Nothobranchius furzeri: one gene and its partners. The protein of the gene in region 2 purifies or fractionates together with the protein of the main gene of each other region. This does not show direct contact. Links are inferred from orthologs where the notes say so. Each region holds a gene or a part of one and is shown on either strand. Other genes may lie near its edges.

Region 1 (8,280 bases), on a different chromosome or scaffold from region 2:
GATAGATGAATAGAATAGAAAATCCCTTTATTGTTCCTCAGTGGGGAAAGCTAGACGTCACAGCAGCGATGACACGTATTACAGGAGAAGAAAGGAGAATAAAAATAAGAAAAATGAATAAACAAGAAAACATAAATCCTGAATAGATTTTAAAAATGCTGAATATACCACAAGTAATGAATACCACTGATGCCTTTTATTTAAAACTGACTTGCTCGTGTGTCATTTGGTTATTCCACATTCAGTGTTAACGCAGAAATAAGTTTGTTTCCAAATTTAAAGGTTCAAAATTGCATTTATGTTGATAAAGAAAATGTGCAAATTTGCTGTCACTTTTTCAAAAATGATTAAGTTTGGCCCTCGACTCCGTCCCAGAGTTTCATTTCGGCCCCGTGTGAGTTTGAGTTTGACACCCCTGCAGTAAACCGAATGCTTCCTGAAACATCAGCGTTCCCAGGTCCTTTAACAGTTCTAGTGTCGCCAGAAGAACTGATGTTGTTGTAGAAAAGAAGGGCGGTCACACCAAATATTCGTTTGATTCAGGTGTCTCGTTTGTTCGTTTAATGTTGATTGATGAACATTTAGTATTTTTGAAGGCTTACGTTTTTCACAGCATTTTTTAACACCTGCCTAAAACCAGGGTATCCGCGGGCGCTTAAAAAGTCTTAAATTTGCTTTTACAAATTTAAGGTCTTGAAAATCCTTAAAAATGACAAATAATCCTTAAATCCAGTTTCCAAAGGTCTTAAATGACCAAAGACCCAATAAACAAGATTATTTTATTTCTATAAAAATTTTTGTGAATTTCTAGTTAGCGTTCAGCATTTTTTGTGTACGATGTTGGCGTAAGCGGAACCGTACACATTCAGCTGGTTGTGAAAGGGGGCTGTTTTTAGATGAGCACATTAGCTGGTTAAGCTAGTGGGAGCTTGCGCCATGGGGAAGTGCAAGTTTAATGGTGACTGGATGGCTAATCCCACGTTCACGACGTGGTTAGCACCGGTTCCAGGCAATAGCTGGAAATTATAGCTTAAATTTAATTTTATAAATTGCTTAAATTTGGTCAAAGTGGCCTTTAAAAAGGTCTTAAAATGTCTTAAATTTGGCTCCCTTAAACCTGCAGAAACCCTGTAAAACATTTTCACAGCAACCCATCTCATGTGTAACATGACCAGTACAGATGCCTTCATCAGGCCCTGTCATATGTAGGTACTTTCTCTCACATGTGCCCGTGAGAACGTTGGATAGCGGTCCTGCAGGACCAGGCCTGGGCGCCCTTAGGGTGTGCACAGAGCCGTCTCATTACTGCACGCTGTCTGGGGCCTTTTTAGGCTTTAGAAGAGATTTGAGCGTTATTTATGGCAATAGGCAACCCACCGACAGGCCATCTGTAGCTCCTGCTTCCACCAAGTATTGCTCCTGAAAAATAACTAGACGGGAGGAATAACAGAAGACAGACTCAAACACAATTAATGTGTTCATTTATTCACTCGGTAGGGGATTCAGCACATACACTATTATGCTCATGATGACACGCATCTTGTAATAATTAATGTAAGTGTGTGGAGGTTTCCATGGAAACGGTTTAAAGCCTAATTTAGACTTCTCTGTCTGCGTCGGGACGGATGCATGCGACGCCATTATTCGCCCTTTTGAGGGCTCTCTAGCACGCTCGCAAGTACGGACACAGTCAAGCTCTCTTTTCCAAACATCCGTCCAAAGAGACGGAGAACGCAAGCTTGTGATTGGTCAGGACGCCGCTGTCATCGACGGCATCGCCATTCCACCCTCAAAAATATAAAGAGAGCCGAGGATATCTAGCGGCAGACACGGAGAAGCTTGAAGACAACTCTAAAAAAATGAACGTTTTATTCACCGGAGAAGTGAAAGAATACGCAGCAAGCGTCTTATTCATGGAAGCAAATAACGGGAAACGTGGGTTCAGAGGTGGCGAGCACACAAATGGGCCATTCCCATCTGTACCGGGTCGGCCCGGGCCGGGTAGCCCCAGTCGGCCCCAGCCTGGCCCGGTTGATTCCACACATCCTTGTCTTAAGCCCATGTGGGCTGATTCTACCCACCAATCAGAGGCCTGCTCTAATGGAAGGTGTGAATTTGCTGTCAGCAGTGGGTGTGTTGGCGCTGGTCGGCCTGAAGCAGACCCCCTCGAGAAGAGGGCTGAGAATGAGCCTTGGTTGGCCCGGAAAAATACCAGGCCACCCAGATATGTAAACAACCTACGCTACCCGGCCCGGGCCGACCCGGTACAGATGGGAATGGCCCAGAAGAGGTGGAGGAGAGTGAGGGACAAATTTGTCCGTGTTAAAACCCATAATATAAACACGATAGTAGATGCACCATCTTGGACCTAGGGCTGCTCGATTAAGGCAAAAACAATAATCACGATTATTGTGAATGAAAGTGAGATCACGATTATTTAGGACGATTTTTCAATTTATGTTGATTTTTATTTGTTTTTATTCAGTCATAAAATTGCTCAGGGCACAATCAGGACAAAAAGAAATAAGAAACAAGATGATCACTAAAAGAACTCCTGATTCCCAGTATAAAAAGACCAGTATACTTACAGCTCATAGTCTATGACCCAAGGGCTACAGACCTTGGTTTAACTCATTTAAGTCTAACCAGTACAGACCCAAATACCAATATCTTGCAAATACTGACAGCAAGAATTATACAGTGGCATTCATAACAAATACATGCAAATAAACTGATGTTCACTAAATGTTGCATAACATTTATTGAGTCGTGTCAAGGTGCTGTAGGAGAGTGCACTAGCACCGTGTCCTCAGAGAGATTAGTTATTAGTTATCAGCGTGAGGAACTTATTTCTACCTTATTTATAAACTATTTATTTACAAGTCGTCCATCAGTTAATGTAATAATTGTCCCAACCACAGCTGCACCCCCCAACCCGGTCTCACAGCAATCGGGGGCAAGCTGCACGTGTTTAGCACGCCGCACATTTAGCCTTTTTTAGCGGCTCAGGAGTCCGCAGGTGCGGTGTGTGTGTCACTCACTCTGGTTACTCCAACATGGAGCCGGCTCTGAGAGCTGTCTTTAGCGACGGACACATCACTACATCATTCCCTTTCCTAATGTCCTGAAGAACGGTCCAGAGCGCAGGCGGAGTGTTTAGCTAACCTGCAGGAAATGTCGACGACAGTTATCCAGAAAGTAGCTAAGGGTTACCAGAGATGTTTCTGAGGTGTTCGCTAGGTACTTTTAAGATTTAAAAAGTCAAGAAGGGGGTCTGAGAAGCTGCTAGAAATAGCGTCAAAGTCGCTAAGTTGGCAACACTGTGGGAGGAGCGCTTCATTTGCAACTCAGGGCAGCGCAAGTGGGAGGAGCAAATAATCTGCTTGTTTTGTTTTTTATAATCGTTCAAAAATCCGATCGTAATCGTGATTAAAATTCGATTACTTGAGCAGCCCTACTTGGACCAGATACATGACAGGATATGCCGGAACAGCGCTACGCCCTCTGTTGTCCTGACGGGGAATTGCTTTGCAACACTCCCCAGGAGACGAAGTCCGAGAGAAAAACGTCTCTGTCCGTGCGTGTCTCTCCCTCGTGGAGCTTCAGGAGATGGCTGGGACAGATCAGCACCATCACACAGACACCATCCTCAGGTCCGGTGGGGTCTGCAGTGTGTATCTGACACAGTCCCTCCTCTCAGGACATGAGACCGTCAGAAACATCGAACACTGCCATGCTTTTCATCCCGGTTTATTCTAGAGAGCGATAGAGGAGGACAGAATGGAGCTGGGCGAGTGGAGGCAGTCCGTCATGTGGGGAAGCACACAGATTAAAGCTGCGAGAGGAGGAAGGGGAGGAGGCAGAAGTGGATGTGAGGGTTCTGTCGCAGCAGGCGGAGGTATCAGAGGAACCAGCGTGCTCCCGCTGAGGTTCTGCAGCATCTCTGTGTTTTTGGGCTGAGCGGTCCAGCTGTGGCCATTGTCACGTAGAGCCTGTTGCCTGGAGACCTCCGCTGTTGCTACGGCAAGGAGAAGCTAACAACACAGCTCTCTGATGACATCTCAACACGTCCACCGGCTGTCCAACCTGCTGGCACATGGAAAATAACGGGATTCTCCTGGATCAACGTGTCGACAGGAGGCTGGGAGTGTGTGGGGGGTTTTACCAACGCCCTCACCCAGACAACGAAGAAAGGCAATCTCTAGAGAAGGAGAGGGGGCAGAAGATGTTTTTGACAACTGATGGGATAATAACAAGCAGAGCCATGCAGGTCCAGTCCTCCGGTCCACAGTCTAAAGCCTCCAACATCATTCTCAGCCAAAGATGTGTTCTGGCTTCCAAAATGGAAATTCACCGGTACGTACCTACCGTCACCATGCGGTTCAGTTCAACACCCGGTCCTGCCTTCATCCTTTCAGGGACCTTTAAGCCTCCTGGGTTTTTGCTTCTGATGAGGTTCTGTATTCTGGTGAAATCTCAGTGTTCCTGACAGGATTTCTGTTCGCAGATTTACATTCTGTCACCCCCCCCCCCCCCCCCCCATGAAACGAGAGAGCATGTTGGTTCTGTTAGATCAAAGGGATGCTTCTTTTCTTTACCTGTCTCAGCTTCTGCTAATCTTCAAATACCAGAAGGTCCACCACGGGGCAGGAGACTCTGACAGATGGTCGCAGTTGTTTGTGAAGTTTCGGTGATCCCAGTCCACTCGGCTCCCTCCAGCTGCGACAGTAGTGTAAACAGGCAGGTGTTCGATTCTTCACGCTGTTTACTGGAACGTCAGAAAAGTGGCTCCTGCTATAGAAGAGCAGCACATGTAGCAGGAACCTGGGGAACCAGCAGGTCTACACAACGTCCCCCTCGATAAAAACTAAGAGTAAAGGATTTATTGATTAGATACTTGCTCACTTAAAGCTGTAATGGCAAATCTGCAAACAAGCTAGGTTTTGAACACGGTCACTGACCACTCACCCGTCCCCACGAGTATTTTCCCTAGGACACTTTTGGCGAAACTGGACATTGTCAGAGGAAACAATATTGCGTTAATTACCAGTCGCTGTCTTTTTTTTTTCATTCATTCATTCATTTATTTCCATCATAACAAATACATATAAAACACATGAAAAGGAAAATAATTATCTAATAAAGAACATAATAATAATTATCACAGGTACAAATTCCTCTTATAAATTAAACAGTTTCTTTAGATATTATTTATGAGCGAAAAGGTATAGGCTGAAGTTAAACTTATTAAAGCCTACCCATTAATTCATTACAAAAAAAAATCAACATTGTCATAAATATCAAAAGTAAATAAACATATAAACATATAAACAGTTGACTAAACATCTTTAGTTGTCCGTCCGTGACTTCAAATGGTGATTTTCTTTTTGGGACTCTGGTAGTTTGTCCTAAAGGTGAAGTTAGTGATGCACCGATATGAAATTTTGGGGGCGATACCAATATCTGATATTAATCTCACTGTTAAGGCCGATAACCAATATTTGCCGATACCGATATGCTGACATTAATGTTTCTAAAATGAGCAGATTTTGTATAGAATGAAAATTATTCAAGCTGAATTTACGTTATTAAGTACACACACCACACACATTTACATTCACTGTCACATGACTATACAAATACACATCACCCCTCTCACCCTCTGAAACAGGCAAACAAATGGAGACGAGATGGAAAAAGTATCGGTGTTAGTATTGACCCGGTTTTATTTATCGAACCGATACGTAAAAAAATGACTAACATCGGCCGATACCGATAATGATGCCGATATATTGTCCACGCCTAATACTGGGCATTCAACAAGCCGGGAAGGACACAGCTCCATGATTTGCTGCCTTCAAACAGGCTAATTTCACTTCGGCTTTCCCTTCGGACATCAACAAAGCAAATCGCTGTTCTCCATTAATTCCCAGTTTGCCTCCAACAGTCCCAGTTCACAGTGAAGTCACAAAACTGCAGAGCCAGCCCACAGAGTAGAATTAAACAATTAAACATAGAGAAAGTGCCAACAGACTACAAAACCATAAGTAGTAGTGTTTCTAATCACGGAAACATGCACAGGGAGCCTAAGTCACGCCCATCTATTTCCAGACCACGGGTCCCTGGAAGAACGAAAAAATGAAGGCAAGTCAACGGGGCTAAAAACGCTATTTTCTAATTCCGCTTCTTACGTGCCATGGATTTCACACACGATGTCCGTGAATTTTAAAGAAGCTTTTTGATCGTTATTTTTCGCACGGGGGAAGCGCTAGCTTAGGTTTTGTTTGAAAACAAGTCCAGGACTACAAATGCGCGTCGCGAAAGTGACGTCATCGAACCAGACATGGAGAAAAATGTGGAAAATGGCTGTAAGTTCATCAAACTTCAAATCCTTCCTTCCGGGGGAAAGAGCCACCATAAATCTGGTCACGTGGTAAGTAGCAGCTACGCTAGGGGGGAGGAGACTCTGTGGTGACGTGCCGATGTCTGATTTGTAGTCATGCTGATTACGGACTTTTACAAGCTAATAAATCTCTAAGCACATGACAAGCGCGGTCGAAACACCCATCGTTAATTTAAATTTAAATTGCAGTACAACATATGTGTGACCCAGGGCGTGAAGCAAAGCGGATTAGAAAAGCGCTCTTTTAGCCCCGTTGACTTGCCGACCGGAAAGGGAGGAGACTTATGCCGGGAACACACCAGATGCAACGTGCGGCGAAGTGAAATTTGTGCGCCGTCCACTCCTCCTCTGTTCACATCAGGCAAGAATTTTCAACGAGCGCTTCTGCTCACACCTACTGTTTTACAGACCCCACCCTCATGCCCTTGCCGTGCGTTTGTGTGTGTGTGTGTGTGTGTGTGTGTGTGTGTGCGTTTGTGTGTGTGTGTGTGTGTAACCAGTTAGCCCCGGTTGTTGACATCAGAAACTGCGCTGATCCTGCTGCTGTTTTGTAGACCAGTTTCGTTCTAAATGGTTAAGTAAAGAACTCGTGTCTGTGGTACAATCCAGCTTTTACAAACTGCGTTTAAATTTATGAAAACACTTTGTTTCTCCGCAGGAGTGTGTGTGTGTTTGTGTTTGTTCATTTTCATCTCTCTATTTATCAGTCACGGTGTTTTATTTTGAAAATTTTGTTTTATTTAGTAAAATTTACCAGCCTGCCTCATCTGATTTGGTTCGACTTCCTGCCGGTATTGACGCGACTAACTCACGGCTAACAACAATGGTGACCTACACGTTAAACTATTTTTTACAAATTTTATAAAAATGAAGACATTAAGAAGGTTTTTTACACTACTTTAATATAACTAACGTTTATCTTTGAAGAACCAGAGTTTTGTAACCTGGGTTCCTTTTAAAACCACAACAAGAAGCTCTAAAAGCACACTACAGCTAAAAAACTACGGTCTGCATTTGCGTCTATTTTTGAGCCGCCTAGTCCCGCCCCTCATGTGCCTCTCTGTCTGTCACTAACGAGACTAGTTCTCTGTGTATAATTAAACAGAGGATGAGTCTGGCAGGCCAGGCTACCAATTAGAAGAAGAAGAAGAAAATATCATTTCTGTAGCGCCTCTCAAGATAAAAATCACGAGGCGCTTCACAAAAACAAAAAATGTAAAAATATAAAAAAGAATTTAGAAAATGTTTAAAAATATATTTAAAATGAGCAAAAAATAGACAACTGTTATTAAAAAAATGTTAAGAAAGAGAGAGAGTGAATAGGAAAGAGGGAAATCAGTGGAAATTTGGCAAATGAAAGGCCAATAGATGCCAGAACCCAAAGCAGGGAAGACGTTGTCTTGTTGTTGGATACAACTGGACCTACAGGAGATCTGGGTAGTTTTCAGTTTGAAAGCCACCCCTACAAGAGATTGAGAGTTATCCAAACAGAAGTCAACAGGCCATCTTTTAACACAGGAATAAGAGTTGTTGTACCTTTTGTTGCTGAAGTGTCGGCCACCACTGCGGTGTTCCTCAGAGCTCACCGCTGTTGGCAGCATCACTTCCTTCTCCGTTTATCTGTGGGCAGCAGAGGGCGACTGACTGGTGCCCTTCAGAAGAAACGTGGAATGCCGTTGCCATGGCAACTCTGTCTCCTGTCCCAGCCTGGGCGGGACTTCTGGCTGTGAAGGCCGAAGGAGTCACTGCACTGAGGTGACATGTGCTGCTTATCGTGGCTGCAGGAACTGAAGTGGGGATAGTCCCAACCCCACCACCCCACCTAGTGGACACTTATGTTGGGTTGTCTGAAGTCTGTTGCATATCTGTCCTGAGGT
Region 2 (7,360 bases):
GAGTTTATTCCTAACTTTCCTCATGGATTGAAAATTTGACAAAATTTGCCCAGGATATGAAAAGTAGATTAAACACCTTTTTGAATTTCCATAAACCTATGTGTTTTCTACAGAGACTGTAGGAGAGTTTTTTTTCTGATTAACATTTTTGACTACAGATTAATGTGATCATCAGTGCCATCTTGTGGTCTTGTTGTGCCACTGCTTTGTTTTCAGCTGCAGTTGATTAGTTTTCAACTAAAAGTTGCCCTGATTGGGGCAAAATCTAAATATTAGACAACTTTCTGACAAAATATTTAGTTATATTAACCAAAAAAATGAAAATATGTACCACAGATTTACTGACCTCAGTCCACAAGTCAGTGGAGTGCAGTCACATGTGCCTCGATTCCTGAACAAATTATGTATTTTTTTTTCCCTAAGGTCACATGAATTGCTGAACTGAGTAGAAGTCTTATCAACCGAGGACAGCTTTCAGCATGGCCCCTTCCCACCAGAGTGTAACTAATCTGTCCCTGCCCTGTAATTTTAGTTAGTTTCTCCTCTTTTACAGAATGAGTTCTGTCGACATAAATGATGAGAATTGTGGGGTCATCCCAGCAGGAAAGCACAACGATTCTAGTCTAGATGTATTTGCCCTGGAACAGCCAACCGGGAGGCAATCTATCCTGCGTCAGACGGAGAACCTTCCCAACAGGACTGTGCCAAAAGGGGCAAAGGTGCAAAACCTTTTAGTTCTGACAGATTCAGTCATTTATGTAACTTGATCTGTATTTACTAATTACAATGTTATGTTTAGGTTTGTTTTCAGACACCAAGAAGAGACCCGTTGACTAAAAGAATCCTGTCTCCCAGGAAATCTGTCAACATGTTAAGTGTGGATGAGAATAATAAAGCAACAGTGTCCTTGGATTTGGATAAGCCAGAGTAAATAAGTCATATACTTCCTACATGTTTTTAAGTTTCAATTGCTTGTGCTTTGAAATAACACCAGTTTTTTTTCAGTACTTTAACACAGGAGCAGATTGAGCCACCCCGTCAAGGTAACTCATCCCATATTATTTTTTTACAGCTTGATGTAAACAATCCAACTCAAACTCTTTTAACCCTTTTCACAGAGATGTCATCCTATCCCGACGACAACATGCCGATACAAAGCAAAGGCGGCTACCAGTTGGATTTTGACAATCTTGATGCCATCAATCCATTTCAGAGTTCTAACAAGATGGCCGTGACCCCTGGGAGGCCCGCTGTTGAGACTCTTACAGATGACCCCAAGCCTCAGCAGCACATGTCACCAGAGAATATTCAAAATAAGCCAACTGACATGACACCCGCTCTAGACGACACGCTTCCATTCACGCCATCTGTGGAAAATTCTTATGCAGATGTTTCCACCAACATGAGCTCCACAGACAGCAGTGTGGTCACGGTGACCGTGAAGGTCCCAGTAGAGGAAGGTCCATGCACAGACACGCCTGATGAAAAACAGCCTGCTAGTTTGTCCGATCAAGAGAAGACATCTGGCAGTTTTGTGGAAGATTCTCCACTTCCAGTAAAAGGAGCTTACAACATGGATTTTGACAACCTTGATGAAATTAATCCATTCCAGACTGGAGGCTCTAAAATTCCAAATTCACCTGATTTAGAGAGAAAAGTACCAAACAGTAATCCACCTACAGAAGAAAAGATATCTATGGGCGTGTTTGAAGTTCCTATGGTAGCCCAAGAGTCACCTGCCCAGGATGTGAAGTCCATTTCTACGGTGAACCCAACACCCGCTGATGCAGCCAAGCCTCCAGCAGCTGAGTCCGAGCCTGCGGACCCTCCAGTCAATGAGCACTCCGTCAAACTTGAGTTCTCTTTCGGAGACTGCAGCGAAGTCAAACGAAAGCCACCACCCAAAAGGTTCGGCAAAAGACCTTCTGTTGTAAAACCTAAAGACGAAAAGTCGACTTCTGATGTTAAAGCATCAGCAGAAGCTCCCATGAAGCCTGTGAGTGATGTCACTGATGATCCAGTTCCTAAAGGTTCCTACTCTCTGGACTTGGATGACCCGTACTTCAATCCTTTTGGCGCTAAAGCAAGAATCACGAATTCTCCAAAGGGCAGTGGCCAACCCGCAGTTGTGCTCAAGGAAGCAGACCTTCCCGAGCAAACTGACAAAAAGGAAGATGGGTCTTCCCAGAGGTGAGTAAAACTGAGTTTCTGTCTTTATTTTTCTTCACATTCCAGCATCAAAGTTTTGATCGTAAATGTTTTTGCTCCTTGCAGCTCTGGTGAGAGCTTACCAACAGCTGAGCCCAACCATGAAGATGTAAGCTATTATTCACAGGGTATCTGCGGGTCCTTAAAGTCTTAAATTTGCTTTTCAAAATTTAAGGCCTTAAAAATCCTTAAAAATGACAAATAATCCTTTAATACAGTTTCCAAAGGTCTTAAATTACCAAAGGCCCAATAAACAAGATTCTTTTATTTCGATAAAAATTTCGTGAATTTCTAGTTAGTGTTCAGCATTGTTGTGTATAATGTTCGCGAAGCGGAACCATACACATTCAGTTGGTTGTGAAAGGGAGCTAGTTTTAGATGGGCACATTAGCTGGTTAAGCTAGTGGGAGCTTGCGCCATGGGGACGTTTAATGGTAACTGGATGGCTAATCCCACGTTCGCGATGTGGTTGGCATCGGTTCCAGGCAATAGCTGGAAATTATAGCTTAAATTTAATTCTAAAAATAGCTTAAATTTGGTCAAAGTGGCCTTAAAAAAAGGTCTTAAAAAGTCTTAAATTTGGCTCCCTTAAACCTGCAGACACCCTGTATTCAGTTTAAGTTCCTATTTAGCTCGTGTTTTTCTCACACACAAAAATATCACCCTCCTAACCGTCAGATCGCTGATCACAAGGCTACCTCCGCTCATGACCAGGAAATTCCACTTGAGAGTGACGACCCCGTGCAGAACGCTCCTGAGCCGCCTCAGCCCGATCAGCAGCTACAGATGGACACCGAGTTCAGTGAGGAGTTTGTTCCTGGAACTATGTGTGAGTAAACCTGGAATTCACATCACTTTATTAGTTTGATCTGTGCTTGATTAGTTCGGTCTGATTTACATTACCAGTCGTGGCCGGTGGCTTTGACGGGCAGATCGACTACCTTGAGCAGTTTGGGTCCAGCAGTGTAAGTGCTAACGACGCGTACGGTAACCGGATATTTTGATAGTTAGTTCATGACCTAAAGGTATTTAAATGTTTTCTTTTCAATCTACAGTTTAAGGAGTCTGCCCTTCGAAAGCAATCTTTGTACCTAAAATTTGATCCCCTCCTGAGGGAGAGCCCCAAAAAGTCTGCAGGCCCGTCCGCTCAGACGCACGTCGCTGTTCCCGCGGCCTTGGCCTCACAGTAATAACACACTTCTGTTTTCATTCACTCTGACTGCTGCTGTCCCTGAATGCTTCAGCAGATCCTTTTTGTTTGAAATATTAAAAAAAACATCACTTAAGGTTTTGTTTTCTTCAGGCTTCAGATTCCTCAGGTTACAGAGAAAGAAACAACTAAAGCTCCAATAAAGGACAGCCTCAAGCTGTTTGAGGACGCAACAGCTCCAGTGAGTCTCTATTCCCGATCAGGATTCGCTGTAACTCCTGGCGGGTTGTTTGACCATGACCATCTGTGTTTCTAGGCTCCGATCTTTGGAAGCATCATCCCTCCTTTCCCTCAGCCTGGGAACTCCGAAGACGTTATTATTGAAATGCTAAAATACAGTCAGAAGGACATGGATGCCGCTATCGCCAAAGTGCAGGCAGAGGTGCGTTCTTCACAGTTTGATCTTCTTGTCCACTAGTTTAAGTAGAGCTTCATTTTGGGACAGAATTGTTTAAAACATTTCTAAAGCTAGGTGGTTGGTCCTCATTCACCACTCACTTGTGCATCTTCTCAAACAGGGAAGAGAGAAAGAGGAACAGTGGAGTTGTAAATGTAAAAAGCTGCAGGATGACGGTCAGGAAATGAGGCGAGTGGATTAGATTTTAATTTTCTGTTTTTGTTTTAGATGATATTCATTGTTTGTTTTTTCACCCACTCAGGAAAATACTAGCTGAATATGAGCTTGTGATTGCAAAAATGATGGGTGAGTTAACGCCACCTGCTCTAAACATCCAGATTTATGACTCAGCGGTGGTTGGAAGTACTCGTTTTTGTTTCTTTTGGCATAAAATAGCCGATCAAGAGAAGGAGAAAGAGCTGGCCGAGGCAAAGCTGAAGGAGACGTTGCTGGAGAAGGAGCAGGTGTCAAACGATCTGAACTCCATGGAGAAATACTGTGCTGAGCTTTTTAAAAGACTGGAGAAATACAAGGATGTTGTGGAGGGGTACAAAAAGGTCAGTTTAGTGGAGGACAAAACGCTCCTGATGGACTTCTCAATATCTAAAGTATTTTAATGATTTCAGAAAAGCTAAAGGGATTAAAATGTCTTTTAACCAGAATGAAGAGACTCTAAAAGCCTGTGCCCAGGACTACTTGGCAAGAATCAACAAGGAAGAGCAGCGATACCAGGCCCTGAAAGCTCACGCTGAGGAGAAAATTACCAAGTAGGACAAGAAAAACTGTAAATTAATTTAGTTTTTACTCATGTGAAGGCTTTGTACTCGAGGCGAATAATTGTATTTCTCACCTCCAGGGCGAACACAGAAATAGCAGAGGTACGGTTTAATTACAAAGCTGAGCTGTCGGTGCTTCAAGCTAAGCTGCGCCGGGAACAACTGAAGCTTCAGTCTGTGGAGAGGAGCCTGGAGCAGAAGGTGAGTGGACATTTTTAAATAAGTCATCAAATGTGCTACTGTGTGCAGGTATTTATTTTTTTCTTGTGTTTTAGGAAAAAGAGGCTGAAGAGCTCACCAAACTGTGTGATGAGCTGATATCGAAAGTCCAGAGGGGCTGATTTTATTGCTTGTGTCCAGATCATCTTTTTGTGTAATGTTTGTCATTGTTTCTTTAACACTGTAAAAAAAAATAAAGATAGTTTTAAAAGTTTTTGCTTTATTTTCATGTCATCAACCACTAGGGGGCAGTGTTTGGTTTTATGGGGATTGATCTGTGTTGAGATGGGATTAATACCGCTGTGATTCTTTAACATGTGTTTCTGTGTTGCTTATTCGATATTCAGACACGACAGGCTTCTGTCTGGAGCCGGAGCTCTTCTTCGTGCTTACAGTGAAACGAGCTCATCTGACACAAAGCCCCTCTTCTTTTCTGAGCAATCACAGGGTCCTGTCACATCGCTCCCAGAGTGGGACAATGTGCTTCCTAAATGGTGAAAGGAAATCCTGCCTAGATTGGAGCTGAATGAAACGACGGTAGAGAGGGATTGGGGGGGACGATTCTCTTAACTGGGGAAAAGATGCTGGTCATTTGGTGTAGACTGGCTGGGGACATCAGTCATCTAAAAAGCAACAGTGAGACTGTTCTTGTGTCTGTTCGGTATCTATTCAGGCTTTTGTCCCGGCCACTTGTGTCCCTCTGCTGGTTGCCCTCTGTGTCACCCTCAGACACTCCAACCTGCTCGGAGAGAAGAAAGCGCTCCTGTGTGGAGGTGGTGGGGGGTGTAGGCCTTTTGTTTCAGGATGGCTCACCTCTCGAATCATCTTCTGTCTGCACTCAGAAACACATGAGCCAAACACAATGTCCAACTGTTGATCCTATCAATCTTATTTCAGGTCATTTAATCAAACTTCTTTTTAAACAAAATACAAGATTGTCAAATTACATAACGAAACATGAAGTAAATGCAAACAAACTGGTGGACAAAAGAAAAATTACAGAAATTTTAAATGCCTGAAAAATAAACCTTTTGATACTTTTTTTATGAAAATAAATTAAATATTCTGACTACAACTTCATTAATGGTCAAAAAGACTGCTTTCTGCTGGTTTGCCTCGAGACGGTAAAAACTAGTGATGAGAACTGATCTGAAGAAGAAAAAAAAACAATCCTTCCATCCCTTGCAGTCTTTGGCAAGGTTTGCACGCCATGAACAAGTTACAAGTCTATTTTATATCACCTGTAAAAAGGAACATACGTGTGGGATGGAAAAATAACATAGTGGTCAGCATTACCAGAAAAATGCTTTAAACATGAGGAAAACCTGAGTAGGAGCATAAAAACAGCCCTTTGATCGACCTCTAGTACCGTTTTTTATTTATTTGATCTCGTCCTCTCCGCTCTGATCCGTTTGAACTCACATCCTGAACGAATAAACCGTAACAAGTGCATGAAAAGGATGAATGGGTTTTAGTGGTGTGAACTTTCAACAAGTTTTCTTGTTTTTAAAAAAAAAAGCACCAAACATGGAAGTTTTTATGAAAAAAGACACTGGCCACTGTCCGTTGCACGCACACACACACACACACACACATTTTCCCCGCAACAGTTTCTGGAGATCGGTTCCACATGAACGTCCCTCAGAATCAACGTCCATCCGAGACGCTAACACTGAAAATGAATGTGTTGATGCTGGTGTACTTTCCCATCCACGTGTGAGTGTGTGTGTGTGTGTATGTCCGTGTAGATTTTGGGGTATATTTTAGGCGGGGCTGATGGTCCTCCCTTGCTAAGGAGGAGCTGCTGCTGGGCCAGGTACTCCTCATAGTTCATGGAGCTCATGCAGTCTTTCTCCGGGCTGGAGGAGCCGGTCGACGCCGCAGCGAGGGCCCTGTCCCGCTCTCGGAGCCGGTGGGAGCTTTGTGCAGCCGGGGCGCTGGGAGGTGGGCAATGCTTTCTGTTCTGGCAGAACCACAGCAGCACGGTGGCGAAGATGAAGACGATTCCAGCGGGAACGCCGATGATGACCGGCCAGGGCAGGGAGCTGGAGGTCGCTGGGAACATGGAGGTGATGGGGGGCTTTGTGTCTGCAACAGAAGGGAACAAATAAACCCAGATTCCAATAAAACCCAAACATTTTGTTACCTCTAAGCAAACAGGATGTTTTTCTGAACAGAATGAGAAACCGTTACTTTATGTAGAAACGTGCATGTGGGAGAAAACTCCCACGGCTCCCACATCATGGTAGCTGGCGGTCTGAAGGTATTTTTTGACTAGTTTTTATTTATATAGAGAATTAAACAAGAGTAGCCACATTTAAAACTAATGCTAAACAGATGTCAGCAAAACATTTAGAGGTTTTTATTACGCTGGTGCTCCAGGTCCAGAAGACAAACACACAACAACACATTACGCTGGGTGAGTTCTGCAAACGTTCTGATGATGCTATCGGGTTAGACGTACAAAACAGACTCCAAACCAAAATAAAAATTCCCGATTCTCACCTGGAAGCACAGTCAGGAACGCACTGCGGAAGCTGTAGCCCATGG
Region 3 (7,663 bases), on a different chromosome or scaffold from region 2:
CATAACAGCCGCCGCCCACTGGAACCAGAAACAACCTCGAACTCCCCTTCAAAATAAAACGAATGCATAACTTTACTCTCGCATCATTAACTCGTCAAACCCTTACAACAATAATAAATCCCACAAATCTCACAACAACACAAAGTTGTGAGATTTGTTGCTTTTCTACACTCTTTAGTCAGTTTAGAGCTTTAATGTTTGAAATCGGTTCGATTGTTCCTGACAGCAGCTACGTTTAACAGGGTATCCTTGAAAAGTCTTAAAGTCTTAAATTTACTTTTCCAAATTTAAGGCCTTGAAAATCCTTAAAAATGACAAATAATTCTTAAATACAGTTTCCAAAGGTCTTAAATAACCAAAGACCCAATAAACTAAATTATTTTATTTCTATGAAATTTTTGTGAATTTCTAGTTAGTGATGAGCATTTTTGTGTATGATGTTGGTGTAAGCGGAACCGTACACATTCAGTTGGTTGTGAGAGGGGGCTATTTTTAGATGAGCACATTAGCTGGTTAAGCTAGTGGGAGCTTGCGCCATGGGCAAGTGCAAGTTTAATGGTATATGGATGGCTAATCATACGTTCGCGACGTGGTTAACACCTGTTCCAGGCAATAGCTGGAAATTATAGCAGAAATTTCAAAAATTAGCTTAAATTTGGTCAAAGTGGTCTTAAAAAAGGTCTTAAAAAGTCTTAAATTTGGCTCCCTTAAACCTGCAGATACCCTGGTTTAAGTCTTCCTGAAGTGTTGCTGCTCTGAGTTTCAGCACGTTGGTGTGGACTCTCCTTCATCCTGAGATTTCACTGAAAACAGCTGGACTTCTCTGGTTATCTACAAGATGTTTCACTTCTCATCCAATAGGCTCCTTCAGCTCTAAACCTTGGAGGCTAAGAAACAAACACAGACTGTGTTGAAAGTCTCATTTAAAAAGTAAAAAAACCTCTTTTTGTCTAAATGAATCCCGGCCTTTTTAGGTGATGTTTTTCTTCCTTTATTCCCAGATCATGTCCGTAGCGCTCATTATAACTACATAGAAATGTCCATCCATGTTTTTGCCATCGGAGATCAGCAGCAACAAACCTGACCTGAGTGTCCCTGATGAGCTTATTTAATTTTCTCTTCTAGCTGAGTAACGTTTGGGGAAGCCCAGCCCCCGACCAGACGCCATGGGGGACGATAGTGAGTGGATGAAGCTTCCTGTCGACCAGAAATGTGAACATAAGGTGACCAAAGTCAAGTTTCCTTTAGAGTCCCAAATCAGAGATTAATAGTGATGTCCAGCAGCTCTGGGTGTCCTGGTTAACCAGGCCAGCTGTAATAAACAGATCTGAACCCAAAGCTGTTACACATTTGACATGAAGCAGGAACACTGGACCGAAACTGGATTCAGCTGCTCTGCTCTTTGTCAGATTAGCTTCCCTCAGATGTGCTTACTGTGTTTGTTTAGATCCCTACGTGGTTTTACATTCAGGATTAACCTAATCCAGTCTCGGAGAACCCCGTAATCCCAGCATTCATGTCTGAATGCTGTAACGCCATCCTAGCTTTAAGCTAATCAACATTAGCAAAGATAAATGACAGAAACTGATTATAATTTAGTTGTTGGCTGTTGGGGTCGAACTTGTCTGATGGGTGGAGGAATTTAAATGTTTCACAGCCTTTATGATGATTGTTGCACTAGAGCTGCCTTCTCTCCACTCAGCCAGGGAGCTAGAGGAAGTTCAGTCCAGAGACCTCATCTGCTCCTCTGTCACTAGAAGAGCTGGGAAAACCATCCCTTAGCCTCAGATCTGTTTTATTTAAAGGAGGATGTCTCCATGAGTGTCAGACGTCTCTGTTCCTCACCGCTGTCTCCCACAGGTGTGGAAAGCCCGACTGAACGGTTATGAAGAAGCTCTGAAGTTGTTCCAGAGGATACAAGACGAGAAGAGTCCAGAATGGGGGAAGTATCTGGGCCTGATAAAGAAGTTTGTCACCGACTCCAACGCTGTGGCTCAGCTCAAAGGCCTGGAAGCTGCTCTGGCCTTCGTAGACAACGCACATGTGGCTGGCAAGTAAGTGGTGACGACATGTCCTGCACCCCTCGGTGGTGCAGCTGCAGACAGCTTTATCTGATGACCTCTGATGGTTTTCATCACTTATAAAGTAGAGGCCTGTGCTAATCTGACGTTGTCTCTGCTGCAGGACGACGGGCGAGGTGGTGTCGGGTGTTGTGACCAAAGTGTTCAACCAGCCCAAGGCCCGAGCCAAAGAGCTGGGAATGGACATCTGCCTCACGTACATCGAGATCGAGAAGGCTGAGGTCGTCCAGGACGAGCTGCTGAAGGGGCTGGACAACAAGAACCCAAAGATAGTGGTGTCCTGCATCGAGACGCTCCGCAAGGCTCTGAGGTCGGTACTGGCTCTGGTTCTGACCTGGTAACGGGTCAGCTTACCTGTGAAGTTACAGCTTCAGTGTCTACATCTGTCCTCTTCTCACAGTGAGTTTGGGTCAAAGATAGTGCTGCTGAAGCCAGTGGTGAAGGTTTTACCCAAACAGTTTGAGTCCAGAGAGAAGGCTGTGAGAGATGAAGCCAAGCTGCTGGCTGTGGAGATCTACAGGTGGATCCGAGATGCTCTGAGACCTTCGCTGCAGAACATCAACTCTGTTCAGGTACGTCATCAAACGGAGCCTCAGCTTCACTGTCGGTAACTTAAACAGGTAAAATGATGTCTGCTCTATTCCTGCAGCTGAAGGAGCTGGAGGAGGAGTGGGTGAAGCTACCTCCAGCCCCCCCAAAGCAGACCAGGTTCCTACGCTCCCAGCAGGACCTCAAAGCAAAGTTTGAGCAACAACAAGCACAAGGAGAGCCATCTGATGGTGGGTGAGACTGGGTGGGATCAGCTGTTTGGTAACACTCTACTAACTCTGTTCTTCCTCCAGGAGAGGATGAGGAGGATACGGCTGCAGCTGTGGATGCTTATGAGCTCCTGGAACCGGTGGAGATTCTGTCCAAGGTCCCTAAAGACTTCTATGAGAAGATCGTAAGTTTGTGTTTTCATAAATCAGCCATGGGGATTGTTTAAATCTGATGCTTCACAGCAATAGATGGTCACAACGGGCTTCAGGGGATCTTTACCTTCCAGTGAGTTGGTGCCAACCAGGTGGCTTGGTGCCCAACATCTTCTACCAACATGTCCTGTGTCAGGGCAATGGGGATAGCCGCTCATTATTCTCTCCTCCTCTCTCTGCAGGAAGCAAAGAAGTGGCAGGAGAGGAAAGAAGCTCTGGAGGCTGTGGAGGTTCTAGCTAAGAACCCTAAACTGGAGAACGGAGACTATGGAGACCTTGTTCGAGCCTTGAAGAAGGTAAAGTCTCCAGCCCTGAGGAGGTAGAACCTGCAGCCCGGGGCTTTGCTTTGCTGTATTCATGAGGTTTTATCAGCATTGGCTCATCTCTGAGCTCCACCGCTGGGTTAGGTGGTTCAGTTGTCCTAGATGGTGTCGGATGATGGGATGCTGTGACTTTGTCCTGGTTCAGGTTGTGGGGAAAGATGCTAACGTGATGCTGGTGTCCTTGGCGGCTAAATGTCTGGCTGGATTGGCTACTGGGCTCAGGAAGAAGTTTGGAACGTATGCAGGACAGGTGAGTGGGTCACAGCTCTGAAGTTACTCAAACATGAAACCTGAATGGAGATGGTAGCGGACCACAGCAGTTCTCACAGAACCTTCTCCTTAGGTGGTTCCAACCATTCTGGAGAAGTTCAAGGAGAAAAAGCTTCAGGTAGTCCAGGCCCTGCAGGAGGCCATCGACGCCATCTTCCTCACGGTAAAACGGCTCATTTATTATCATTTAGTTAACTTTGGATGGTTCTAAAGTCAGAACTGTGGAAATGAAGTCATTGCTACATCAGAATCGGCCTAACTGGGGCGTGGCTAGGGTTGGGCATTGTTTGATTTTGAACGATTCAGATTCCAATTCCCATTCCTCATTTCGATTCCGGTTCCTATCGATTCCCGATTCCGATTCTTTCAAGACATGACATATTTTACATGAGCCAGCTAACCACAGGTCCTACTTGATGAAACAATCTTAACTTAAACATGAATTTTAATTTTATGAACAACAACATCACCTTCATTTAAACAAAAACACGTTTTGGAGAAAAAAAGAAAAAGACTTGCAGCACTACCAGTGTGTTTGTTTCTGACCACAACCAAAGTCTGGAAGCAGCCTCTGGGATTTTTTTGATTAAAAAAAATAAAAAGCAATTATCTGACATCTTCTATTTATTGATGAAAACAAATCCATATGAAATAATCGTGATGCATCGGGATATCGAATTGAATCGTTGACCCAATAATCATAATCGAATCGGGAGACAAGTGAAGATTCACACCTCTAACGTGGATCCAAGGGATAAACCATCAACCCTGCTCAATGGTCAATTTTCTTCATGGGGTCACACCCATTAGGACAGTGGGAAGGTTAAATCTTAGAGTAAAAGTTTTTCTCTCAAATTTTCATTTGTTAAAACTGGATAAAATTTTTACTTTAAGAAAACATAAGGATAAACTTGTCGGAACCTCTGGTGTATTAGAATCTGGACATAAACTGTGATTTTTCTGCCCATTCTGAGCTGCTGGTGTGATGATCTTTGAGGTTGGGCCGGGTTTTGCGTTGTGTACCGGGGGTTAGTTAGAATCAGACATGCGTGATATTCTGGTCATCCCTCATGAAGCTATCGCGCTGTTGAAGCAGCACCACAACTAAGATGTCCCAGAACCGCTCACTCGGCGCATGCGCCAAGACGTCTGTACGTGTCCTCACCTTTCACTGCACACTAGGGCTGCAACAAATGATTATTTGGATAATCGATTAATCGGATGGGGTCTCGACACGATTAATCGATTAATCGGATTACATAGGGACATTTTTAAAAACTGCTAGGGAAACGTTATTTTTCTCCTTCCTTCACTTTATTAAACACAACATTATTAGAAAACAGTTCAATAGCAGAAAAACAACATGCCATCACCTAAATTGTCTTATAAGGCGTATAGACAGAGACCCTAAGCTACAACTATCTGTGACCTAAAATGCTTGGTCCAAATTAAACAGCTTAAAGAGCAAGTCAACCCCTACCAGAGTCTAACTCCACTCCCGCTTCATGTTTGAAAAATGCAACACATGCTGTTGCCTGGCAGACCGAGAGGGCGGAGCCGCTAACAAATACACACACACTCAGGCTCACGACAGCATTGTGACATCATAATGTACCAGTTTACATCATAGCATACTTCTTAGCCAATAGCGGTGGCAGATTTAAATTAAAATACAGTGCAGAGTTTTTACCTGACAACGGCACAACAATGCCAGTTTTAGGCAGAATATTTAAATTTTAACTAAGATGCACTGAAGTGCCAAATTATTGATGACACGTGTCTGCAGCACGATTAGACACTCGTTTATTTAGTTTATCAGCAAAAAAAAGTTTATTTGGGGGTGACTTGCTTATAAGGGCAATTCTCTGTTTTGTTTGATCTCATCTGTAGACATTTATTATAATTGGGGGTGTCAAACAACTAATTTTTAAATGTAATTAAACATAGGCTGTGAATTAATCAAAATTAATCACTATTTCCAAAAATGACTGAAAAATACCAAATAAAACAAAAGTAAATGAATGCCATCCTCCTTGCCATGATGCCCTGGGCAACTGCCATAAAGTCACATCAAGAAATGCTGCTGATCATTCCAATGATCCCAAATAGACTCACATTAGGCCACATGAAAGCAACTGAACCCAAAAATATATTAACCAGTATATAACTGCACTCTCACACAACACGCCTGCAGCAACAGTTAGGACTCCTCCCTCCCTTTTAAAAGCGTTTTCGCTTCTGAGGACATTGTGGTTGTAAAGCCACATGCTAGTAGTCTGGCCCTGGTGTGATCAACCAGTTTCTGCGGGAATGTGACGGCGGAACCGGTTCGCAGCGGCGCGAGTCCCCCCCCCCCCCCCCCGACTATCAAATGGCGTCACGCTTACAATTTTATAGACTTTTTTTACGAGCTTAGGGCATATCTAGCCTGTGTAATAATCTGGGGCTTGGGTGAATCACTTTGTAAAAGTTTTTAACTTACCCGGACACCGAGCTCTCTCCTTCCTCGCTGATGATTCTGACATGCTTGCGTTTAAGACTCTGCATCATCTCCGTAGTATCCCTGTGCCATGCTAAGTCTGACCTACAAACGTTGCATGTCTTCGCCTGATTTAACTGAAAATGCTCCCAAACTTTAGAAGTTTTTACTTTTTTGGGGTCTCGCTGCTTCTGCCATGTTCCTCTTACAAACACCTGCCGGCTCTCCACCGGTCTGCGCGCAACGGCGGGCGGGAGGGGAGGGGACTTTTGGAAGAGTTGCGCAACACAACGAATCGATGACTCAATTCGTTGCCAACGCTTTTAGTAATCGATTTTCATCGAATTCATCGATTCGTTGTTGCAGCCCTACTGCACACCAGGACGGTCCAGAAATCGTGCTTGTTGTGTTTTATATAGAATAAAAACCCCAACCCCCATAAACTCCTGCATGTTCTCATACAACTATGGCAAGCCCGAAGGACATCAGACGACTTTACCAGCACAACAGTCTCCTCTGTTCTGGTGTCCGGATTCAAAGGTCCGACGCCTTCCTGTTACCTTTGAGAGCCTTGAGATGATGACACACACGCACGCACGCACACACCTCCTGCTTTAGCTTTGATGTGGTTTATTTGTGGAAGGACTTAGTTGGACTTTTTAACGACTCGGGCACCAAGCAGGACCGGGTCGTTTTCTGGACTCTTTGTTTACGTTGAATATGTAAAAGCTCATCCTGTGTAATCTGATTACTGACCCTGATGTGTTCCTTATGGAATCCTAAAAGGTCTTTTCCCTTCATATCTTTTGTTTCCCAGACAACGCTCCAGAACCTGTCGGAGGACGTCTTGGCTGTGATGGACAATAAAAACCCGTCCATCAAACAGCAGGCCTCTTTATTTTTGGCTCGGTCTTTCCGACTCTGCACCCCAGCCACGCTGCCCAAGAGCGTCCTCAAGCCGTTGTGTGCTGCTCTCATTAAGGTACCGGAGATCTAGAGCGAGGGCCAAACCCTGGAAAGAAATTTAAAAATTCCTGCTTCCTGTTTGAAAAATGCAACAAATGCTGTTGCCCACCAGACAGAGAGGGCGGAGCCGCTAACAAATACACACACACACACAGGCTCACAACGACATTGTGACATCATATGGTGCCAGCTAACGTTCTAGGGTACCTCTTAGCCAATAGCGATGGCATATTTAAATTCAACTGCAGTGCAGAGTTTTTACCTGACAACGGCAAAACACTGTTTTAGGCAGAAAATTATAATTTGAACAAAAATGCACTAAAGTGCAAAACTATTCACTGCACGTGTTTGCAGCATGATTAAACACACATTTATATAGTTTATCAGAAAAAAAAGTTTATTTGGGGGTGAGTTGCTCTTTAATGTCCATCATTTCTACTTTAACCCCCCAGCAAGTGAACGACTCTGCCTCGGAGGTTCGGGATGCTGCTTTTGAAGCTCTGGGAACAGCCATGAAGGTGGTGGGGGAGAAAGCCGTGAACCCGTTCCTTTCGGACCTGGATAAACTCAAAC
Region 4 (8,391 bases), on a different chromosome or scaffold from region 2:
TTGTCATTAAATTGAAGTTGGACAGATGACTTGGATTTGACTTGAACTTCCACATCATTGACTTTGAACTCGACTTGGACTTGACTGGAAAGACTTGTGACTTGCAAAGCAGTGTCTTGGTCACACCTCTAGACTCAGTCCTTTTTACTTTAGTGCGGTGACAGACTACTGCCTATGTCTATTCACTTCCACTGATTAAGTTATCTGAAGATACAACAGTGGTAGAACCAAGGCTGGATTATAATACGGGCAAACTGGGCACAGGCCCAGGGGGCCACAGCCACAAGGGGGCCCAGTCTTTTTTTTATTTTTTATGCAGCAGTTTTAACGTTGGAGAAAAAAGTTGACAAGTTATTAAACTTGCGCCCACATTTTCTAAGTTAAAACACATTTCTTTTAACAACAGTAGTTTTTGCATCTTTACTGCCTGCTTCAGCCCTCTCCCCCCTCCCCCTGCTTCAGCCCCCCTCCCCCTGCGCAGTGGCTGCAAACTCACTGATGCGCCTGCAGCCTCTCGGAGTTCCTGCTGCTCTAAACATTAAAATAATTATTTCATTTTCTGTTCCTCACTTCTGATGACCTTCAATGGTGTCTGTTTGTTGCAACCAGCAGGTACAAAAACTAACTTGTTTTTATTTGACTATTTTTCTGTCCTGTCTGTTTATTATCTTCCTGCAAGAAAAACTGCTACCTGGGTTCATATATATTCACCTTATGAGTTACCTTTGAACTGCAGTTCTAAAAGATCTACCGACCGCAAATATAGCGGACTGCGCGCCGGCCGCATCAGTGCAGAGAAGTCTCCGGAGGATGAAACGGGTGATGCGCTCGCTCCGCAGCAGCGAAGCGTATCAGACACAAATAAAAGACAGAAAGCATGAAAGGATATGAGCTGACACGAACAATCGCGTGTTACGTTTGTTTTTGAGGTGGCGACAATTTGATAATGTTACTGTGGCCGTGCTCAGGACACATCTGGAGCGCATCAACGATCAGAGCTCTGCGCCTCTCAGCTCTAAATAATCCCCAGAGAGTCCACATAAGTAATTTAATATAAGCAGTACCAGGATCGTTTTCGGGCTAAAAAAAAATAGTCTACAGTCCATCTTCCCTAATGTGTTTGTGGCCCTGTGGATTTTTCTAACTCTACCAGTTACAAATTGTAAAGGAGAACGATCATTTTCACTAATGGCAAGAATAAAAAATGAACTGAGAACAACACAAACTCAACAGCACCTCACTGTCACTGATGGCTATTGAATCTCAGCTTGTCAGGAATCTGGACTTTGATGACATTGTAAATGAATTTACTAATAGAAAGGCCAGAAAGCAGTTTTTTCTGAAGGCAAGAGGAGACCAACAAGAGGAGACAGGAGTCAAGAGGAGGAAGGAGACAGGAGATGAGAGGAGGGAAGAAACAGGAGGCAAGAGGAGGAAACAGGAGACAAGAGGAGGAAAGAGACAGGAGACAAGAGGAGGAAGGAAACAGGAGACAAGAGGAGGAAGGAGACAGGAGACGAGGAGGAAAGAGACAGGAGTCAAGAGGAGGAAGGAGACAGGAGATGAGAGGAGGGAAGAAACAGGAGGCAAGAGGAGGAAACAGGAGACAAAAGGAGGAAAGAGACAGGAGACAAGAGGAGGAAGGAAACAGGAGACAAGAGGAGGAAGGAGACAGGAGACGAGGAGGAAGGAAACAGGAGACAAACAAAAAACATGCAGATATTTCATCTTTGCAAACTTTTCAATAACTGTACAATCTTTTAAATAATCCTGCATTATTTTCTGTTGTAGTGTGACAGTGGGATCTGTTTTACAGCAGACTCACTCGCCCCCACTGTCCCACAGATTGACAACATTTTTGTTATTACAGACAGAAGAGAAGACAGGAACGCTGTGAGGAAGAGAGAGACAGAAAAAGAGGAGAAAAGAGAGGACAGAGGAAGAAAGACATATGAGTGAGGTACAACAGGAACATCATCAGGTATGAGTGTTTGTGATTAGGTTATAAAACTATTTTGACCTGGAGGTAAATGCTTTTGTATCAACAAGAGTAAGCGATTTTTAATATTGACAATGTTATGACATGTCTAAAAAGTGCTAATGGGTGACAGTAATGTTGGGGGAGGCCCGGTGGGGGCGGGGCGGGGTCCTAAGCACATTGTGCCCAGGGGACCCTGCAATGATAATCCGGCCCTGGGTAGAACTCAGTGAAGATAAAACATGCTGGAACAGTTATGTGTGCTGTGATGAGGACGGCAATGTTACCAAAACAAGCTGCATCACAAATCTGGTAAGGTAATTTGTCAGTGAAAGTGACAAAGACCTGTTAGACTGGCTTAAATGAGTATCATTGGAACTAAAATATATATATTTGAGAAAAAAGTCTGCTCATAAGCGACTTGGCCCCGTTCCACCTCGAAGGTAAATGCAAAACTTCAAGACTGTACGGCTGCTCCAAGACACTACCTTTGATCGGGACGAGAACCCCCTTATTTCATTTTATTATATATTTCTAATAAATACAAAGACAAACTTTTGAATGTATGAATATTTAAACTTGAAGGTTTCCTCTTGTTTAAATCGCACATTTATGTGTAATTACATTGTTTCTCTGGAGGAATGTGGTGTCTACCGTCTGTTTTCAGTGACCCTCCAACCCAGCTCACGTGATTGTAGGTGCGCGAGCAAATAGGTGTTGGTTACGTGCTCGCTCTCGATATTGAACGCAGTGACGTAGTTGTCCGCCGCCTGTTGGTCTTTCACAGTTGGTGACGAGTAGCGAATACGAAAATGGCCTCGACCCTTCCCGTAGACTCTAATATCCAGAGAAGATGACGGCGATAAGCTCGTTAAGTCGTTTAAACTCTAAACTGTCTTCTTGGAACACGTAGGAAAAGGAAAAGGAAGGGGCAAAAAGAGAGCCCCGGCCAAGAAAACGCTCCAAAGCACCGAATATTTCCGTCAGGCTGAGGATTCACCATGGAGGATATCAACTCTAATATCAACGCGGACTTGGAGGTGCGGAAGCTCCAGGACTTGGTGAAAAAACTCGAGCAGCAAAACGAACAGCTTCGGAGTCGGTCCACGTCGTTGCCTTCGTCCGGTGGACTGTCCGGGAACCACAGACCTCACAGCGCCGGCTACGACTCGTCCCTGTCAGCCAGTCTGGCCGGCTTCCCTGGGGTGGGGTTCGGCGGAACGGGCGGCTACGGGGGTCTGCTGGAGAACAGCCGCTGTTCGAGACCCAGGCTGTCTTATGACGGCATCAGCTTCATGAGGGCGTATGACTGCGAGGGGGCTTCTGCTGCCACCGCGGTGTCGATCATGAACTCACTTTACCCAGACAACGCCGGGGAGTTGACGGCTGAAGGGGAAACCTCTATCCTGGATGAAGTGGACATCTTAGATCTTGAAGACATGGATTGTCTGAACGAAGACGAGGACAGCTGGTGAGTGATGGGCTTGTTCTGGGAGGAAACTTGCCTGTTAGTGTCTCCAGGGCCAGATGTCAGCTGCTCCACACATTACCTCCACAGCACACGCCTGGCATAAGCAGTCGTCCCACCTTTGTTTTTAATCTGAAGTCATCCCACAGAAGGAGTCCCGTTAGGGACAACTAAAGTGTGTTTTTTGGCACTTAGCATGGGCGAGGCCATCCAAAGACTGGTTTTTCACCAACCATTGTCCCACCAGTCTGCATTTTTCTAGTCCACTTGCTGTTAATGATCAGCTGTTGGGAGTCAGGACCCGGAGGTGTTGTGATGTGGCAGACAGCTCAGCTTTCCTTGGGAGGGGTGGCAAGAAACCGGGCTTGTTTTCCTGCCCAGCAGCCATGTGGGAGAGTAGTCATGGTTTTCATTCCTCTGAATTCCCTTTAGCCCAGCAGTTGGCACACAGCTACAAGTGTTCTGCAGCACCGAGAGGGAAATGGTACTGAAGCAGGACGGTCATTAGGCTGGAATAGAAGCTCTGGCTGTGACATTAGGATCACTGCAAGCATTGGATTTGCAGAACAAATTGCCTTTATTTAAAGAAAGTGGGTCACATCAGGGTATGTTTTGGACTAAGATTCACCAACATGTTCAGCTTGTTATCACAAATAATCCCACTTTTCCATTCTTGAATTTCTCCCAGTGCATTGTGTTTATGTCAACTGGATTTCAAAATAACGATCCTTTTAAAAAAGCTTGTTTTTTCCAGGAGTGCTCATTTAAATAGTTTCTTCTGTGGTCAAGATCCTTAATGGCTATTCAATGCCCAGCCTTTGATGGAACGTATTCAAGTCAGTAATGCACCATAAGTTGTAAATATACTACAAAGTCCCTTTATTAATTATAACTAATTGGGTTTTTAATCAGTTCCCAGCTCCTGCGATCCTTGCAGCAGTGCGCCTGTGCCAGCTGCTTCTCTCCATGTCGGGATACTTTCAGATATTGCCCACTCATGCTTGGCAGAGGCCGTTTCATTTGGCCCAAGCTGTTTACTCTGCCTTTTGCATCAGATATGTGGGATTACCTCGTAGTGCCTTGATGTCGCCAGCTTCTGTCACAGACTCCCATAATCCCATGAATTAGCGAGGCTGGATTTAAAATGCACCCTGGCGCTCGTCGGTGGATGTTTGAGAGCCTTTTAACTTGTGACTGACTGTTAATGTGTTGGAAAACAAAGAAAATGTGTTCTCATGATGTCAGACTTGTATTTCCCTGCACGAGCTTTGCTTTCCCCGCAGCGTCTCCGCTTTCATCATGAAAGGCTTCCTCCTCGGCTTCCTCGGTGCTGACCAATGCTGACTCAGATTTCTCCTCTCAGTAGAAAGTCATCGTGTCTCCTCTCAGAAGCATCACCAAATATTTGCTTTACTTCTGTAACACACGGCATCAGTCCGTCCTGACGGCTCGTAGCCCTGCTTTGCTCTTTTTTGACCCCTTCGTCACTCAGTGGGTTTGGCACTTGAACTAACCGGACCTGACTAAGCATTAAAGTCAGTATTGACGTTTCTCCACTTGTACTCATTTTTTTCATTAATGTTTATTTTTTTAAATGCCGGCCTCTAGGTTTAAAATACGACTACCCTCTAGTTCTGTATGCTTTATTAAAACCAGTCTCAACCTGTCAGGGTTAGTTGGCATTAAAATAAATAAAATCAGTTGATTTTGATTATTTTAATTCTATTTTTTTACTGGAAGCGATTCTATTTAATGTGTCTTTAAAATTTGGTGAACATTTTTATTGTGTGAACTGGTGCCTTGAAAATGAACCAAACAGAACCAAAAACTGTGATCTGCTTCAAGTAATTGTTCGATTTCTTGCAGGTTATATGAAGCGAAACTCAACAGTCCCTTGCAAAAAGCCTTGAGTCCCATCGTATGGTGCCGCCAAACTCTGGACCATCCCAGTCCTGAGATCGAATCAGCCAAGCGCTCTCTCATCCACAGACTGGACCTCACCCTGTCAGGTAAACAGAGTTATCAATGTTTAATTAGCAGCATCATTAGCAGGAGTTGGTAGCATTTTAATAAGCTTGGGAGGCATTCATGTAGCAGAATTAGATCATTTAAATGGATACAGTTGGCCTTTTTATCTTCTACTTTCTCTGGGATTCTTGGTGCTTGAAGGCTTTTCAAAAGCATCACACGTCACTGGTAAAAAACATAAATGATGTGTTTTAAAAGCTGAGCTACATTTCTCACAGCTACCAGTAGGGTTTCTAATTTTATTCTTTACTTTAAGCATATTATTAGGGTGAAGACGAGTATTGGCAGTTCTCATAGCAGTGTGTGTGTTGATGCTTGCACTTATGGTGGTGCTAGCTTAAGTTTGTTGTATGTAAATAAACCTGGAAGGGTGTTTGTTGATTGGGAAGAGGCAGAGATTTTTGTGTCGGTTTACATAAAGCATTTCCTGGTTGTAAAAATGTAATAACGATAATTAAATACAAATAAAACTTTCAAATCTTCAACTCACGTTAAAATCACTACGCATCAGAGCTCCACGACGTTAGGAAAGCACGCAGCTGATATTTTAAACTACTACTACCCACTTGCTCTTTCAGAGAAACAATGGAATAAAACTTATTTTGGTCAAATTTAAGAAATGAGTTCACTCTACTTTGTAATATTTCTGTCCTCGCTCAGAGTCTGCTGCTAATACTGCACATTCTAGTTAAATATATCTATGTTATAGCCACTTTTGTGCTTGCTAGTGTCAACTCGCTGTAATGGCTGTCCTGAATCAGGTTTTCTCCTAAAGTAAATCAGTTGTAGATGTGCATCCAATAAAGACTGAGTCTGATTCAAATCTGTTCAATGGTTCATGGTATATTTAGCTAACACAGCAGAAATGGGCTGTTTAAAAGCACAGGAGTAAATTAAAGAAATGTCTTCTCATGTATGGTTTGCTTTCTCTGATGAAGAAGGGAAACAGAACTGTCTGATTCGCCTGGTGAATCATTACATGGCAAACACTGTAGTCCTGTGAGAACTTGGCAGATCAATGTCTGACAGATTGTCATGTGAAGTTACTGAAAAGCACCAGAGTTAGTTTAGCGTTCCCCAAATGCCCGTGAGATTAGCTGGTGTGTCTTAAATGATATTTATAGACTATTCAAACTGGAAAACTCAGAGCCTTTTATGTTGTCTGCTGTATCAAATCAATTCACTGGAATACCCCCAACACACACACACACACACACACACACACACACACACACACACACACACACACACGCACACACACACGCACGCGCATGCATGCATATCATTTATCTACCTGGCCTTCCCTGCTGTTTGGCTGAGCAGTCTCTACTTTGAGGTTTTGACTCCCACTAATTATAGTCGGTCCGTCCTCGCAGCTAAACTGAGATGGGCCGGTTCCATTTGGACTGGTATGTCCGTGTGACTGCTGGATCGTGTTGAGCAGTCTGCTGAAGGTGATCCGCTGGGGTAGACGTGATTTGTTTTGCAAGGACCAACACAAATGTCATTCACAAATAGTTTATTGGGTGGCACCTAGAATAATCCCTGTGGTCATGCAGTGAATATTTTTACTCTTATTCAGCATAAAAGATGCAAGTATTTGGTAATGTGTTGATATAAAATCACGTGCGTGTAAGCTATGAAGGCAGAGGTAAAAGTCACACTCATAACTCCATCTTGAATCCAGCTCTCACTGATGGAAACAAAGATCACATCTAACGTTTTATGTGCTAACATGCTTTTGGATTTATTTACTTTTTATGATCCACACATCTTAAGCACTTCATTCAGAGCCTATCTGAAAACCAGACACACCCATGTGGCTCCTCTCCCTCACACCCACTCTGAACAGAAGCATGGAAACGCTGTTGCCATGGCTTCAGTTTAACGTGTCACCAAAGAACCAGCAGAGACATTTTTTGTTGGGACTTTCTTGTGCAGCTATTGTTCGTCACATGTTTCAGGCCCAGCTGTCTTTGTGTGAGTATTGACCAAGCCCGTTGTCTCTGATCCCTGTTGCATAACCAACAGGAGACGCCTGGAAGTCGGTACCCTGAGTGTGCTTTACAAGTCAGACATGAGTTCAGCTTCATATCTAGATGAGTCTAAGTTACAGCGGCACAACTTTTCTTTTCTTCTGTTGATTTGTTTCAGGACAGGATCATTCAGTGTAGGGCTGCACGATATTAGGAAAACCTGCGATATTCGATAACAGTGATTAATATTGCGATGACGATATTACTTGCGATAAATAAAAACTTAACTCGGGAACAAAAATAATCGAAAACAAAGAAATAAAAAAGTCATAAAAATGAGAAATGCACAAGATGTGAGGAAAGGGAAAAAGAAAATGATCAAGGAAAGGTGATCGGTGATCCCGGGAAAAGCAGAATCAGCAGAACAAAGCTAACTCAGGTGTTTGCTAACCATTAAAGTTAAGTGCCGTCCACCTCGGGGGCGGGAATCTAACCTCCGAGAACCCACCCGATTGGCCAAATGGGTGAAGAGCTCTATTTGATTAGTTAAACGTCATGCTTCTGTTTGATTGACAGATCGCGTTATGTGAAGCAAACATATGAGCTGAACATTCATTGCGATATTTTTTGTTCTTTGCGATATGCATATCGCTCATGCTGATATCGCGATGACGATATATTTACGATATATTGTGCTGCCCTAACTCAGTGTTGAACCATTCTGGTGTGTACCATTGATCTGGGTTGGTACGTGTATGTAAGAGGAGTCCGTTCGTATATATTTGGTCACTGGAGTACTGCCATGTATGCTGGCTGTATATTCAGTTGTTGAGAAAAATCAGCTGATGCTGTGTTTAGAAAACAAAGGCCTACATGTTGTTGACACTCATCAGTAGCTGATCTGTGCAGATGGCAGTAAGGTGCACATATTTCCTAAATAA

What was found.
Region 1: the proteins of tacc3 (region 2) and enah purify together in Homo sapiens (co-immunoprecipitation; 3 studies listed by BioGRID and IntAct, with this or other methods). This does not show direct contact. The link is inferred for Nothobranchius furzeri from reciprocal best matches to the Homo sapiens genes TACC3 and ENAH.
Region 3: the proteins of tacc3 (region 2) and ckap5 purify together in Homo sapiens (co-immunoprecipitation; 5 studies listed by BioGRID and IntAct, with this or other methods). This does not show direct contact. The link is inferred for Nothobranchius furzeri from reciprocal best matches to the Homo sapiens genes TACC3 and CKAP5.
Region 4: the proteins of tacc3 (region 2) and slain2 purify together in Homo sapiens (co-immunoprecipitation; 3 studies listed by BioGRID and IntAct, counting the BioPlex papers as one, with this or other methods). This does not show direct contact. The link is inferred for Nothobranchius furzeri from reciprocal best matches to the Homo sapiens genes TACC3 and SLAIN2.

Annotation. Positions count from the first base shown.
Region 1 is NC_091742.1:28,114,976-28,123,255, reverse strand, and holds the start of enah (protein enabled homolog), read left to right. Parts: upstream 1-4,096; coding exon 4,097-4,356; intron 4,357-8,280. UniProt on the Homo sapiens protein: Ena/VASP proteins are actin-associated proteins involved in a range of processes dependent on cytoskeleton remodeling and cell polarity such as axon guidance and lamellipodial and filopodial dynamics in migrating cells.
Region 2 is NC_091758.1:31,359,495-31,366,854, forward strand, and holds the end of tacc3 (transforming acidic coiled-coil-containing protein 3), read left to right. Parts: intron 1-553; 5' UTR 554-554; coding exon 555-719; intron 720-799; coding exon 800-927; intron 928-1,005; coding exon 1,006-1,043; intron 1,044-1,118; coding exon 1,119-2,190; intron 2,191-2,274; coding exon 2,275-2,317; intron 2,318-2,886; coding exon 2,887-3,037; intron 3,038-3,114; coding exon 3,115-3,173; intron 3,174-3,263; coding exon 3,264-3,394; intron 3,395-3,511; coding exon 3,512-3,599; intron 3,600-3,674; coding exon 3,675-3,800; intron 3,801-3,936; coding exon 3,937-4,004; intron 4,005-4,077; coding exon 4,078-4,121; intron 4,122-4,211; coding exon 4,212-4,372; intron 4,373-4,475; coding exon 4,476-4,582; intron 4,583-4,671; coding exon 4,672-4,792; intron 4,793-4,866; coding exon 4,867-4,932; 3' UTR 4,933-5,024; downstream 5,025-7,360. Other genes in the region: fibroblast growth factor receptor-like 1, read right to left, coding at 6,477-6,898, 7,316-7,360. UniProt on the Homo sapiens protein: Plays a role in the microtubule-dependent coupling of the nucleus and the centrosome. Involved in the processes that regulate centrosome-mediated interkinetic nuclear migration (INM) of neural progenitors.
Region 3 is NC_091744.1:80,639,285-80,646,947, forward strand, and holds part of ckap5 (cytoskeleton-associated protein 5), read left to right. Parts: intron 1-1,125; 5' UTR 1,126-1,166; coding exon 1,167-1,223; intron 1,224-1,860; coding exon 1,861-2,054; intron 2,055-2,184; coding exon 2,185-2,391; intron 2,392-2,481; coding exon 2,482-2,653; intron 2,654-2,730; coding exon 2,731-2,860; intron 2,861-2,923; coding exon 2,924-3,024; intron 3,025-3,234; coding exon 3,235-3,348; intron 3,349-3,520; coding exon 3,521-3,625; intron 3,626-3,718; coding exon 3,719-3,808; intron 3,809-6,941; coding exon 6,942-7,106; intron 7,107-7,542; coding exon 7,543-7,663. UniProt on the Homo sapiens protein: Binds to the plus end of microtubules and regulates microtubule dynamics and microtubule organization. Acts as a processive microtubule polymerase. Promotes cytoplasmic microtubule nucleation and elongation. Plays a major role in organizing spindle poles.
Region 4 is NC_091748.1:39,297,542-39,305,932, forward strand, and holds the start of slain2 (SLAIN motif-containing protein 2), read left to right. Parts: upstream 1-2,774; 5' UTR 2,775-2,979; coding exon 2,980-3,449; intron 3,450-5,312; coding exon 5,313-5,455; intron 5,456-8,391.